2 linked regions of the Tribolium castaneum genome follow. The protein of the gene in region 1 purifies or fractionates together with the protein of each later gene. This does not show direct contact. Links are inferred from orthologs where the notes say so. Each region holds a gene or a part of one and is shown in the gene's direction. Other genes may lie near its edges.

What was found. Proteins that work in one complex are often made in the same cells at the same time.
Region 2: the proteins of zinc finger-containing ubiquitin peptidase 1 (region 1) and hyd purify together in Homo sapiens (affinity purification with mass spectrometry, with the first as the bait; 3 studies listed by BioGRID). This does not show direct contact. The link is inferred for Tribolium castaneum from reciprocal best matches to the Homo sapiens genes ZUP1 and UBR5.

The regions. Positions count from the first base shown.
Region 1 is NC_087399.1:5,856,698-5,863,457, forward strand, and holds the end of zinc finger-containing ubiquitin peptidase 1, read left to right. Parts: intron 1-1,179; coding exon 1,180-1,381; intron 1,382-1,442; coding exon 1,443-1,888; intron 1,889-3,930; coding exon 3,931-4,501; intron 4,502-4,653; coding exon 4,654-4,698; 3' UTR 4,699-5,182; downstream 5,183-6,760. Other genes in the region: sialin, read right to left, coding at 6,400-6,760. UniProt on the Homo sapiens protein: Deubiquitinase with endodeubiquitinase activity that specifically interacts with and cleaves 'Lys-63'-linked long polyubiquitin chains. Shows only weak activity against 'Lys-11' and 'Lys-48'-linked chains.
Region 2 is NC_087398.1:9,886,926-9,893,452, reverse strand, and holds the start of hyd (E3 ubiquitin-protein ligase hyd), read left to right. Parts: upstream 1-1,987; coding exon 1,988-2,183; intron 2,184-2,260; coding exon 2,261-2,380; intron 2,381-2,428; coding exon 2,429-2,679; intron 2,680-2,726; coding exon 2,727-2,996; intron 2,997-3,045; coding exon 3,046-3,325; intron 3,326-3,373; coding exon 3,374-3,481; intron 3,482-3,702; coding exon 3,703-3,970; intron 3,971-4,022; coding exon 4,023-4,242; intron 4,243-4,289; coding exon 4,290-4,656; intron 4,657-4,722; coding exon 4,723-5,739; intron 5,740-6,000; coding exon 6,001-6,136; intron 6,137-6,256; coding exon 6,257-6,501; intron 6,502-6,527. Other genes in the region: E3 ubiquitin-protein ligase hyd-like, read left to right, coding at 1-197, 282-448, 570-936, 1,084-1,265, 1,315-1,496, 1,547-1,819. UniProt on the Homo sapiens protein: E3 ubiquitin-protein ligase involved in different protein quality control pathways in the cytoplasm and nucleus. Mainly acts as a ubiquitin chain elongator that extends pre-ubiquitinated substrates.

The DNA.
Region 1 (6,760 bases):
TATGCTTTTGATGAAATTTTGTGAAAGAATTGCTTTTATGGCTGAAAAACGAGTAAAAACGCTAAAATAAAATAAAAACAGTGCAATTATCTGCTTAATTTGGTGATTTTTTTGACATATTTTAGAGAAATCTTGCAAAATTACTAAGATATTAAGCTTGAATAGGCTAAAATAACTCAATTTCTTATCAAACTTTATCTTCTTTTGGGTTAATTTCCAAATTTCCTGATATTTTAGTTGAAAATGACACCATTTTTTGACTAATTTTGTGTTTTTTTCGGTTTGTTTTTTAAATTTTGTAAAATAATTGCGTTTCTACTTGAAAAAAAAAAAAAAATCGAACATACATGCTAGACAAAGTAAAAACAGTGGAATATCTACTTAATTTTGGATTTTTCGGCTTATTTTAGAGAAATTTAGTAAAATTACTAAGATATTAGGCTTAAAAATGTAAAAATAGTTAAATTTTTTATCAAATGTTGCCTTCTTCTGGGGTAATTTTAACAAAATTTTTAAATAAAATTGGCATATACATAATGTTATTTTCGATCTATATTTGTTGTTTTTTTTTTAACCTATTGTAGGCAAACGTAATCATATTCAAGTACATAATTTTCAACAATTTTTCGATATACCTATCATGGAATTATTCGAATTTATAATTAGAGTTAGCTTTTGTTTTTTTTTTTGTGAATGATAAACTAGTGCAATCTGAGGGAAAACTGTATTCTAATTAAATATTACCGTTCGAAATTTTATCATTCGACTTCCCAACTTGATTAATAAATTATGATAATCACCGTTTTGAATCAAGTTAAAAAAGTATGAAAACTTATTGTAATTATTAATTCAAATGATTACATGATATTGTCACATATTCAGAAATGGGATTAATTTAATTTAATTTAATATTAGGTAACAAATGAGAATATTTTGAATCAATTGTCTTCGTGGTGTTTCATCTTATTTACTCAAATTTTGTATAAAATACTAGCTTTATTTCACTCATAAAGTTATAAAATTAGCTTTTGCGAAGTGGAGTAAAATAATACAATTTCCGACTTAAATTTTTCGCCGTATTAGAAGGAAATTTCACAAAACAAGTGAGTTTTTGGCTCACAATTTGATAATTTTTGGACGTAGTTAGGCCTCGGTGGTTAGTTTCTTGTTTTATTTTAGGCGGCATTTTGACGTGACGTCGCCTTCGATGGGGGGCACCACCAGCGAGATATACTCGTGTCCCTTATGCGTGAAGTCGTTCAATTCGGCCCCCGACTTGGAGCTCCATGTCAACATCGAGCACCGTGACGTGCTGTCGCCTGCCAGTCCCCCAACACATTCGTGTCCCGTCTGCGGTATGAATCTAGACAACGCAAGCAATGTAAATTTTTTGCCTTGTCATTCCATTCCATGGTAATTTTTTTTTCTATATTTTTCTGTAGAGTGAGAGCGCTGCTCGTCACGTGGAGAGTCATTTTCCGGCCACTTCGCCTCAGCCCGCCGACAGAGCAGCGTTGCGTGAAAGGGAGCAGCGGGAATTCGAAATGTTGAGGGCGCAGTACGGCATGGACAACCAGGGAAACTTCAGGGAACAGTCCGTTACGAACATGCAAAGAGCTGTGTACGCGGGCGAGATGAGTGTTGCCGATTATTATGAACGTACGTTGGATTTGAGAGCGGCTGAAAGTTGTGGGATTGACGATGGGAGCTCCATAACCAGGAGTATTGTGCCTAGAGTTCGAGCCATTAGCACTACTGCACCTAATGTGGTCCGAACTTTACTCTGTACCTGCGTTGATCACTACGCTTCATCGTATGGTGATAGAGGCTGGGGCTGCGGATACAGGAATATGCAGATGTTGATATCAAGTCTGCTTACACACACTGGGTAATATTTAATTTTTCTTGAAAATATTTTTTTATGTAGTATTTTTGACTAATAGTTCAATAACATCAAAGAACTATTCCTTATACCGAACATTTTTTTTAATTCGCCCGTAAAACTACGGTTTTTGGGCTTATATTTTTATGTAGTCAAGTTATTTATAGTTTGATGACGTTATTTTACACAAACTGATGGACTAGAATCCTAAAACTTGCGTAAAAATGTAAAATAATTTATACTAAATCAATTTTGTGATTTTTGGTTTAGGAAAAACTAGCTTGGAGAGCTTGAAAACGTACTTAAAGGCTTTAAAAACGCAAATATAACACCGTTTTCTGCATAATATTGTGATTTTATAGCTTGTCTTTGACGAAATGTTACGAAATAATTACGTTTCTGGCTGTAAAGCGGGCAGAGATACTCGAAAAAATTTAATCTTTACGTAATTATCTTCTTAATTTAGTGATTTTTCGGCCTGCTTTAGTGAGACTTTGCATTATTTTTGAGATTTTAGACTTGAAAAGGTACGAAAAATACAAGTTATAATGAAATTTAGAGTATTTTTGGTTTAGTTTTGACGATATTTTGCTTAAAACGTGGCAAATTAAGTAAAATTTGGTGATTGTTAGGCTTGTTTTTAGGAAAATTTGCCAAGTATTTAGTTTGTGGCTGAAGCACGATCATAAAGAAAATGCAAGTCTTCCTATTTTTTGATCTATTTTAACAAACTCTAGCAAATTTACTGATTTTAGTTCAAAAATGTCTTTCTTTTTCGTTATTTCTGGCGAAATTTTGCTCAAAAGTTTGTCAATTTAATTGTGTTTTTTTGCTTTGTTTTAGTGAAAACTTGCAAAATTACTGTATTTAAGTGCTAAAACGTTATAAATTAAGTGAAAGTTTAGTAGGTTTAAGAAATTTTGCGAAATTTTACTGTTTTCGGATGAAAAACTATCATAAACGCTCGACAAAGGAAAAACTTGGGCTTATTTTAGCGAACCCTCGTAGTATTACAAAGATTTTAGTGAAATAATGTGCTTAAAGACTTGTAAAGAGTAAATATTTTATTCTTAATTTTGTGTTTTTACCGCTTTTTTGACGATTTTTTGCGACATGTCTGCGTTTTTGACTAAAAACGAGTGAAGATTCTCGATTTCCAACCTGCTTTAATGAAATCTTAATAAAATTACTGAGATTTTAGACTTGAAAAGATAAGTAGGTAGTACATTTATGAAGTTTTGTGTTTTTTTAGCTTATTTTTGACGAAACTTTACTTAAAAACGATTTTTAGGCTTGTTTTTAATGAAAAATTTGCCAAAGTATTACAGTTTTGAATGAAAAATCATTTGCAATGCTCGAAAAAATCAAAAATTATGGACTTTATTCAGTTTTCTGCCGGTTTTGTTTGCGAAATATCTGTAAAATTACTCAGATTTTTGTTCAATAATCAGCTGAAAGATTGGTAAAAGGTAAAAATTAGACCGTTTTTTTTAATATTTTTGTAAATTTTTGTTTTTTTTTATAAGAATATATTTCTGAAATAACTATCAAGAAAAAACGTTCGAAAAAAGTAAAAATAATGTAAATATCGACTTCATGTGGTGATTTTTTCAAACAGTTTTAGTATAATCTTGAAACATTCCTGGCATTTTAAGCTTGAAAACGTAACAATAAAACAATTTTTTATCAAATTTTTTGTTTTTTTTTTTCGCTCATTTTTAAACAAATTTCGTTTAAAAACTTGCTAAATAAAATAAATTGAATGATTTTTCGGTTTATTTTAGAGAAATTGGCTGAAATTATTAAGATTTTACTTCAAACATGTGCTTAAAGATTTGTTGAAGGAAAAAATAACATCATAATCTTCCTAATTTTGCGATTTTTTGGATTGTTTTTGACTAAATTTTTCGATATATTTTTCATTTCTGCAGTAGGAACGCTATAAAAAAGCGAAAATAGTGGAATTACGGTAGTTAATTTATTTGGCGTTATTTTGTTTCTCTTTTTTTTTTTTTTAATTTTTTGAAGGCAATTTGTAAAAATTTCAGATACAACGAACGCTTATACAAGCTATGGCAGGGCCAGAAGCCGCCCCGCAGTTCCGTTCCGAGCATATCCCGCCTCCAAAGCCTCATCGAGCAGGCCTGGTCCCAAGGTTTCGACATTCAGGGTTCGGAGCAATTAGGTTGCCGTCTTGTTAATACTCGCAAATGGATTGGAGCCACCGAAGTCGTCACACTCTTATCATTTCTCCGAATCAAATGCCAGCTGGTAGACTTTCATCGGCCGACAGGCCCCGGCGGCACCCATCCAGAACTCTTCACCTGGGTGTTGAAATATTTCGAAAACAGCGTTGGTGGTGAGTTCGTTCCACCACTGTATTTACAACATCAAGGTCACAGCCGGACCATCATGGGCATCGAGGTGCACCGAGACGGCAGCTTGATCCTTCTAGTGCTAGATCCGAGCCATTCCCCCCAACAGATGGCGCAGTTTGGCGACACGAACAGCTCAGCTGTGGCTTTGCGCCTTTTGAGGAAAAGCGAGGCGGCCATGAAAGCGCGCCAGTACCAGATTGTGGCAGTGGTTGGAACTATCGACTCGGAGCAGCAATATCAGGTAAGTGGCTAGAGTACGGAGAGCTAAAGGTTAGGATACGAAACGGACAAATAAAACGTCCCGTCAATGTCGACAGAGGGCGCAGAGCAATGAATTAAAACGTTTCGTCTCTTAAGTTATAACACACAATATAGGAAGCAATCTCTTTGCAGCAAAGTAAAATTCTGAGGGGTACGAGAATACCGCAGGACCGGTGAGGTTACCCCGTCTCGTGACCTAAAATTATGAATATCTACTTTTCACCACCTCTGCTGTTCATATATTACTAAAGGGAATTTTGGAGTGTGCCCTGGCCACGCTGCTATTTATTTTTCAATCATCATGGCCTCGAAACGTCAATAAAGTAGATAGAATGAGCTTAGATTTGATTTTTAGTTGGGGAATTTCGTTCCCTTAGATCGAGTGATTCTTGAACAATATTAAAAAATTACGACAAAAGTGTTAATACTGTTACAAAATAACTATTTTTGACCAAAAGATGAAGTATCATTTTAGTCAATTTATTCAAGTACACTGTTGTAGGATTTTTGTCCTTAAAACGCTTGTTACTATTATTTGTGATACGATATTTAAGTTTTTTATTTATTACTAGTCGTAGGTCCATTTTGTCACTATTGAATTTTACCTCTATTACACGAATGTACAAATCGATTTAAAAAATCATGGTTTATTAAAGATTCACTGCTGTGTTACTCCCCCAACCGTCCCGATCCAGTGCACTTTGAATCCGAAAATGCGTGTTTTCATTGGCCGATAAGCGAAGGCTTGCTTCTGACGTCACAATGATTGATCACCCATGATATGCACTATTCAAAGATTGAGACGGTAAACAAACTACGCATTGATATCAGTGGGTGCAGGACTGGTATTGAAATGATGAAACACGTGACCGACTTGCGTTTGACAAAACAGGGGAAATTTTGTTTTTTTGCGACACAAGGCTGTAAAACCGGGTACATTATTATGCAAATTCGCGTGTGTAACAATTTGTTTTTCTTAAATCATGTTTTTTGAATATCAAAACTGCTTTGTAATGTATTGTGTTTTTTAATTAATGTCAAAAGGTCGGGAGCGATTCTATTATAAATATTTTATTTTTCGTATGCAAATCGTTCAGATTACGCTGCACAATTTCAAAGCGGAATCGAAAACTTTACAAGTGTTACATTTGTGTCATTGTCATTCCTCCGTATAAATAGACAGATGATGGGTAATTAGGAAGGATGAAAAAATACGAATTTAAATTAACGGCCCTAGTTATTTAAAGTCAAGGCCGAGCTCATTTGGCAACTAATGAATGTTTCTCTAATTTACGAAAAACTGTTACAACAGTACAATCTTTTTTACAGTATAATAAAAATATTTTTTAGTGCTCTAAAGTAAATTCAAACCTACTGACTGCGCCAATTATTTGTTTGAAAAATACTGCAACCAAGATGAATTAGGACTAATTTATTTTTCGGTTTAAAAAAATCTAGTCACATCAAATTCACACTGTATATCTGCTTATTTTGAGTGAAATAAAGCAAAACTACGTCGAGATGAGGAACTTCGGTCGCGTTCCCTTGGTCCAAAGTGCCCAAAAGTTGAAATTCATCCATAAACAAAATAAAATCGCGATAAAGCCACCGCTTGATAAACATTAAAGTATTAATAGAGATGAAAATAAACAAGTAAAGGGTGTTGGTTTTTGCGTCAATCCACGACCGCATTTTATCACTCCGACTTGATTGAGCTGTGATCGATTGCAGCGACCCCTGAAAAGTCACGAAGACATTACCACACCGTTATCACCACGAGGAAACTTTCCAGGTCACAGTTGCGACACAAAAACACTCGGATCGTCAAAAATTTATTTAAAAAAATCACAATATGTACAAGTATAAAAACAGTAAAAATCACGCTAGCACCTCCTTCTCGTTCCTCCTCAACGGCTGCATCTCCTTCTCCACTCGCACCTCCTCGTCCGCAGAGTTCCACTTCTGTAACTCCCCGGTCCCCAGTAGCAGATAAACGAGGGCCCCAGTGGCGTACGTCCCGACTAGAATCCAGAAAACGTACCGCCACTGCTCGAAAGTCTGCTCGTCTTTGGTGAGGATGGCCACGATTTTGGTCGACAGCCAGCCGCCGAAGGACGAGAGGGTGTTGGCCATGCCGAAGATCGTCCCCGAGAAGTTGGGGGCGATGTCCAGGCCGTTGGAGAGGTAGCCGGCGGTGACGGCGCCGTTGAAAAACAGGGACGCGGTGAATACTACTACT
Region 2 (6,527 bases), on another chromosome or scaffold:
AAAGAAGTAGCTGATAGAATCAACCGCCTCGGCCACACCTCGCACCCAGGTCTGTCCAGCCTCCGTTCCGGTATAAAAAAAATCTGTCTCGGCCCTTCGTTTATCGCCCTTCTTCTCGACGATGGCCGTGTATGTCGTGTTTCCTACAACGTCCTCTCCGACCGTTTAGACCTCAGCAAAAATGACTCGACTAAAAAGTGAGTATTTGACGCACAGTGTCGTCGTTGTGTCCATTTTTAACACTGTGCCTTATTAAATCTGTTCGTTTCCACCAACCAAAGACCTTGGTTGTTGCGTAGTTCCGGTGGCGGTGCTACTGGCGGCTCAAGCGGTGGTGCTGGCGGTGGCAGCGGCAGCAGCAAACCCACCGGAAGCGGAAGACAGATGCCCAGGACCAGGGCCAGGATTATGCGCTCGAATACGGCCATCAGAGGTGGAAGCAATAGCGGTGAGTTTCTTCCTCTGTATTTCGTTCATATGAAGATTTAGTGTTTGTCCAGACCCTTTTCAGGGCAATATACTTGGTTTAACTCTGTCGTCCTTAAATGTACAGAGTCCTTTACTTTCAGGCGGTCGTGGTGCTCCGGTTATCATAGGAACGAGCAGTTCGAGCAGTGGAAGGCCGATGGTGACGGTGCCAGCGCCCTACGTCCCAGAAGAGCTGGTTTCGCAAGCTCAGGTGGTGCTTCAGGGGAAGAGCCGGAATTTGATAATACGGGAGTTGCAACGCACAAATCTTGATGTTAATTTAGCCGTTAATAATTTATTGTCGCGCGATGATGAAGAAGGAGAGGAAGGAGACGATGCAGCTGATTCTTACGTTCCAGAGGATCTAATTTCGCTGCTTGACGGAGGGTTTCATACCGATCATTCGGTGATAATCGATGCTGATGCGATGTTTTCCGAAGATATGTTTGGATATTCGGGCATTAGGAAGTAAGGATTTTTGGTTTGATCTGTTTGACTCGCTTTTTGTGTAGTTGCGCTTTTTTTGTTGGTTAACAACTCTATCGCTTGCATTTTTTTCTATTTTTTTTGCATTTTAACTAACTCGTTGGGAATGTTTGACTTTGCTCAAACAAGCTTCCTTAATAGTCGCGGCAGTGGAAGGAGTCGATTGGCCGACAGAGATGCACCACCGAGCAATAGTTCGAATTCAGATCGAGACAGAGAGAATTTTTCGAGGTGGAGAGATCGTCAGTATTTCGGACCTAGGAGGTGGCTTGAAACGGCACTAAGGGAAAGTCCGTACGAAAAAGATTCAGGTTGGTGCTAGTGATTTTTATTGAATACGACATTAAATACCAAATTTAGATCACAAGAAGAAAGACAGCGCGTGTCCACTTTGGATTTCCGACGACTTGGAATTTTGGCCCGATTCTGCACCGAAATTCGTCCAAATTGCGAGTCTCTACTCGGAATTAATCGCATTGTCGAGTAACGGACAATTGTTTCAATGGCGTTGGAACGACCCCGAACCTTACAGACATCCAGAGGTACGTTCATAGACACTTGAAACCAACCGAAATGCATTTATTCGTTCCAGAATTGTAACATACATCACCCCAAGACAGTTCCTTTGGGTCTAATGGGCGAAAAAATCGTCCATCTCTCGGCTTGTTGCACCCGTTGCTCGGTCTCAACCGAAAGCGGCAAAGTCGCCACTTGGTTAGACGAGCTTTTGGCGCCAGCAGCAGCTAAATTGGAACATTCAGCTCAGGCCTATTCCGAGTTTCAAACTGACAAGGTTGCAGCTTTGTACACGTGTCCGTTGTACACGGTTGCGAAGCTTGAAAGTGGTGCTTTGTACTGGTGGTGAGTATTGATTCACGTATATTATTGACCCATTTTGCTAAAAAAATTGATTAAAGGGGCGTTTTAACCGTTTGCTCAACGCAAACGATTGTGGGAGAAATACCGTACAAAGTGCCGGAAACAAAGACCTTCAAACAATCAATCAGAGATCGTTACTGGGTCGCAAGTTTGTATGAAGAACAGTCCCATGTATCAAGCGGGTGCGATAGGGTTTACCATCGCCAATGGAGTACCAAAAGTGGGCCAATTACAGAATGCGGCTTGGACGTTGAGCGATACTTGCACTTTTAAGATTATCAACGTGCAAACGAGTGGAGCTTCGAGTGCCGATAAGGGGAGAGATGCCGTGCCGGGCCCTAGCGGGTTATGTAAGTCTTTTTTGATATTTATAAACTATTTTATCTGTACTGGACTTAAATGTTTACGGGGTTAATGTTCGTTGCAGCGAATTTAACAAATAAAAGTTCGTCGAATAAAGAAAACGCCGATAGGCTTGATATGCCACCGCCACCATCGCCGGCTTCGAGTACTTGCAGCGATACCGGAAGTATTTCAAACAGTCACAGTAAGTTTTCTACAGTTATTGTAAAACCAATTAATAAAACAATTAAAGAGCGCCAAAAACGCATGACCGTGTCTGGGAGCGACACCGGTTCGGAGCAAAGAAAAGACGAAGAGGAGTGGCTTCTACGGAATGTAATTTTCGTGGAAGATGTACGAAGTGTTCCAGCAGGTCGCGTTTTGAAAGTGGACGGTGCTTACGCCGCCGTCAGATTTCCAAGTGGACATTCCAGAGATCGTGACGCCAAAGATGCCGACGATATTTTCCAAGATTGTCGATTGATGCGCAAGGACGACCTCCAAGTATGAACAATAATTTGGTTTCGGTCAAAATTATTTGTGTTTTGTAGGTGATCAAATCGTCGTCTAATTCACGCGTTCCTGACTGTTTTCAAAAAACACCTCGACGTATCCAAATTTCCGACAATAGCAATCAAATTCTCACGATTGCCGTTGATGGACAAGGCATACATGCCATAGTTCGGAACGGGAGTAAATTGAGTTATGTCGTTTACAACGTCAGTAGCGGAAGAATTGAACAAGATAATCCATTTCCGAGCGACACTGCTTCGTTCATGGGGCTCTATCCACATTTGATCAACTTGATTTGTGCTGGAGAAGTATGTCGTTTGTAGTGTTTGCCTGATTGTTACATTGTTTGTATTTCAGAGTTCTGAAACAATTTTGGTTTTGCGCGACGGTAACAGCACGATTTACCCCCTCAGTAAAGATTGCGCCGATGCGATTCGCGACCCACAATGTCTAGACTTGCCTCCAGTCAAGTGCCTGACAGCTGGTACATTTGGTTTGACTGGAACCGGCCTCAACATGAAGAATCAAGTGGCTATTGTTGTCTTTGCACTTGAACAACAACTACTCATGCCGAAAATACTACGTTGTGATATTGATGGCGTCCGGCAAGTTTTGGCCCAACTAGACAGCGATTTGAGTAAGTTTTACTATTTTCCCGTGTGATATTGTGATGAAAAATTTTCAGAAGCCAACATTTCGAATATCTTAAACGAACGTTGCGACGGCAATCGTAACATTTTCCACGCTGTTGTGAACATGTGTACGCCGACGTCGAACAAGGAAACTGAAAGCGGTGAGTTGGCCAAATTTATGCTTTAGGTGATTACGTTAGGCTCAAGTCGCGTGCGTAGCTTGATTTGTTGGGATCGTCATTTCCAGACCCGTCAGCTGGCCTGGAATGTATCAATGTGATAACGAACGCCGTAGGCCCTCGATCAGTTACGCTACGCGATATGATGCGTAGAGCCGTTGTACGTAGCGAAAGCGCACTCAACAATACTTCTAACTCTGCAGATCAGCACAGTTTCGTCCAAGAAGAACCGATACCGACACACAGTTGGCCACCGGAAAGCTTCGATGTTACGTCAGGCGATGAGGATAGTCTGATGGGTTTGGGAAGCAGTGCTGCCAATAATAAAGGGAGCGGAAACAACAGTAACGCACCGACGAATCTCGTCGTCGATCCAGTTGAAAGACGATCAAACGCGATGCAAATCTTACACGCGCTTTTGTATGATTCCTCGGCTTTGGAGTCGCATCTCATCGAGCTTTTATGTGCAAAGTAATTTTTTTCTCTGCGAGTTTGATTAAATAACCATTGGGATTGGTTTTAGGGATGCACAAGGTCAAACTCCGTTCATGTTGGCCGTATCGTCGCGAAGTTATCCAGCCGCGTTGGAAATTTTCGAAAGAATCATTAAATTGGGGACTCCTCAGGAACGCGAAGAGATGATCTTTCCGAAAGGTTCAAATCCGGATCACTCACCTCTGCATGTTCTGTGCTGCAACGACACGTGTAGTTTTACCTGGACTGGGGCCGAACACATCAATCAAGTAAGACATGGTACGAAAAAAAATAGTTTTTGTAATTAAAATTGTAGGATATTTTTGAATGTCGCACTTGTGGCCTCACCGGAACGCTTTGCTGCTGTACGGAGTGTGCGCGTGTTTGCCACAAAGGCCACGATTGCAAGTTAAAAAGGACTTCGCCTACGGCTTACTGCGACTGCTGGGAGAAATGTAAATGCAAAGCATTGATAATGGGGAACCAAACGGTCCGTTACGAACTTTTGACACGTTTGGTTAAAGAAACCGATCTCGTCTGTTTGCCGAATTCACGCGGCGAAAGTATCTTGCTGTTTTTGGTCCAAACTGTTGGTCGACAAAATCAAGAACAGCGACAGTTTCGTCACACCAGGCCCAGGACGGCATCGGCAAATTCCCGAAATAAAACACCTTCTTCAGATAGTGAGACTCTTTATTCTTATTTGACTCGTATTAACTGTCCGTTTGTGTATTCTCCTTCTGTTTCAGTTGAGACCGATATGCCCGAGCATGATTTAGAGCCTCCCAGATTCAGTCGTCGAGCTTTGGAGTGCCTTTTAGGCGACTGGAAAGCCGTTCAAAGTATGATAATGTCGGGGACTCGAGACGTTTCCGAAACACAATTCACCGAACAACCTTACGTCTCCAAACAGACCGGAACGGCACTTTTGGATAAATTCTCCTTGTGTTTCCTTGTCAAATGCCAAATGGTAATCGACGTACTTCTCGAAACCTTGATCAGAGAAATGAAAAATCCAGATGCGAAACAAGCCCAATACGCCACAATGGTTTCGCGGCGATTCGTCCGCTCAGTTGTGCGTATTTTTGTCGTTTTTTCCATCGAAATGGCACCGAACTCGACGAAACGACGCAGTTTAAGCAACCAAAACCAACCGTTGACTAAATGTCGCAAAATATTCCAAGCTTTGAGCAAACTATCGATTGAGGAGCTGTGTGAGAGCGCTGACGCTATTATGGCACCGGTTCGATTGGGCGTAGCACGACCAACTGCCCCCTTTTCACTTGCAACATCCGTAAATGACGTTCTAAACGGATCGGAAGAATTATTCCTAGTTGATCCTTTAGCACCGTCGAGTTCACGACCTTCTGGGTCTTCAACAATGCCGCGGTTTCCGTTTTTGGCCGAAGCTGTGCGAAGAGCGGCCGCTAATGCACGCGATCTGGCAAACGCTCGCGATTTATTGAATTTGAATGATGGTGAAAGTATGGCGATTGATAATGACGATGATAATGCGTCCGAACATGAGGATGTTCCCGCTGATCGTGAATTGCCAATTACTGTTAGACAGTCGTCGACTAATGAAAATGAAACGGTCGAAGCTGCTCCGTACCAACAGGAAAGTCGAATCCAAGGCGAGGAAAGCGATCCCGAATTGGATCTGTTGGCGGAGACGGAGTCGGATAGTGATGATAATCATAGTAATCAGGATGCTGCATCTGCACAGAGGTCGGTACAGACGGGAGCAACGGCCGGATCTGATACCGGTAAGTCAATTTGATTGGTGGAGAGAAAGGGAGAGAGTGAGGAGCTAGCTCATACCTATATTAATCTATACTGCAAAAAAAAGACATAATTTAAAAAAACAATGTTTCAAACATCGCATTATCTTAATAACGTATTGCATTCAGCAATTTATTTCTTGTGTGCCGACGATACACACAGGGTCTAAGGCAGTATATTTTAATATAGGCGTGTGAGAGCGGGTGGTTGGTTGCATGTGTATGCAATTCTGTGTAACTTATCAGGAGGTATGCTGCTGTTCCCGGAAGACGAAAGCGGCGAGTCAAGCCAACAGGAAGAGGAAGAGAGCGAAGCGGGCGAAACTGACGAACAGGACACTGAAGATTATACGTTGACGGATGAACAGTTGGAGCGAAGAAGGTAAATTTGACAATTTTTCTTAGCATTTTTCTTCAAGTAATTTATTTTATTATGATTATTGGCTCTTGATTTAGTGATGTTTTTTGTGTTTCTCATTACTCTGATTATTGTCTATGAAAGAAGCCGTTACAGCAATACGACCGGTCATGGACAGAGGAGCAATTTGGCCCCGCAGAATATGCAATGGGCAATACGGTCACGTGAAGCAAGCAGATCGGCTGGTGTTCGATTGGCCAACGGTTCTAATTTAGTTTTTATTGATCCCAGTACGTTAAGACGATCTACGACTGGAAGTACGGCGGTCGCTGCAAGCTCGGAACCGGTGGCCATGTCCACATCGGCCAGTTCCTTAGCTAGGGCCTTCGGTAAGTACAGCTTTTACGTACTTGTA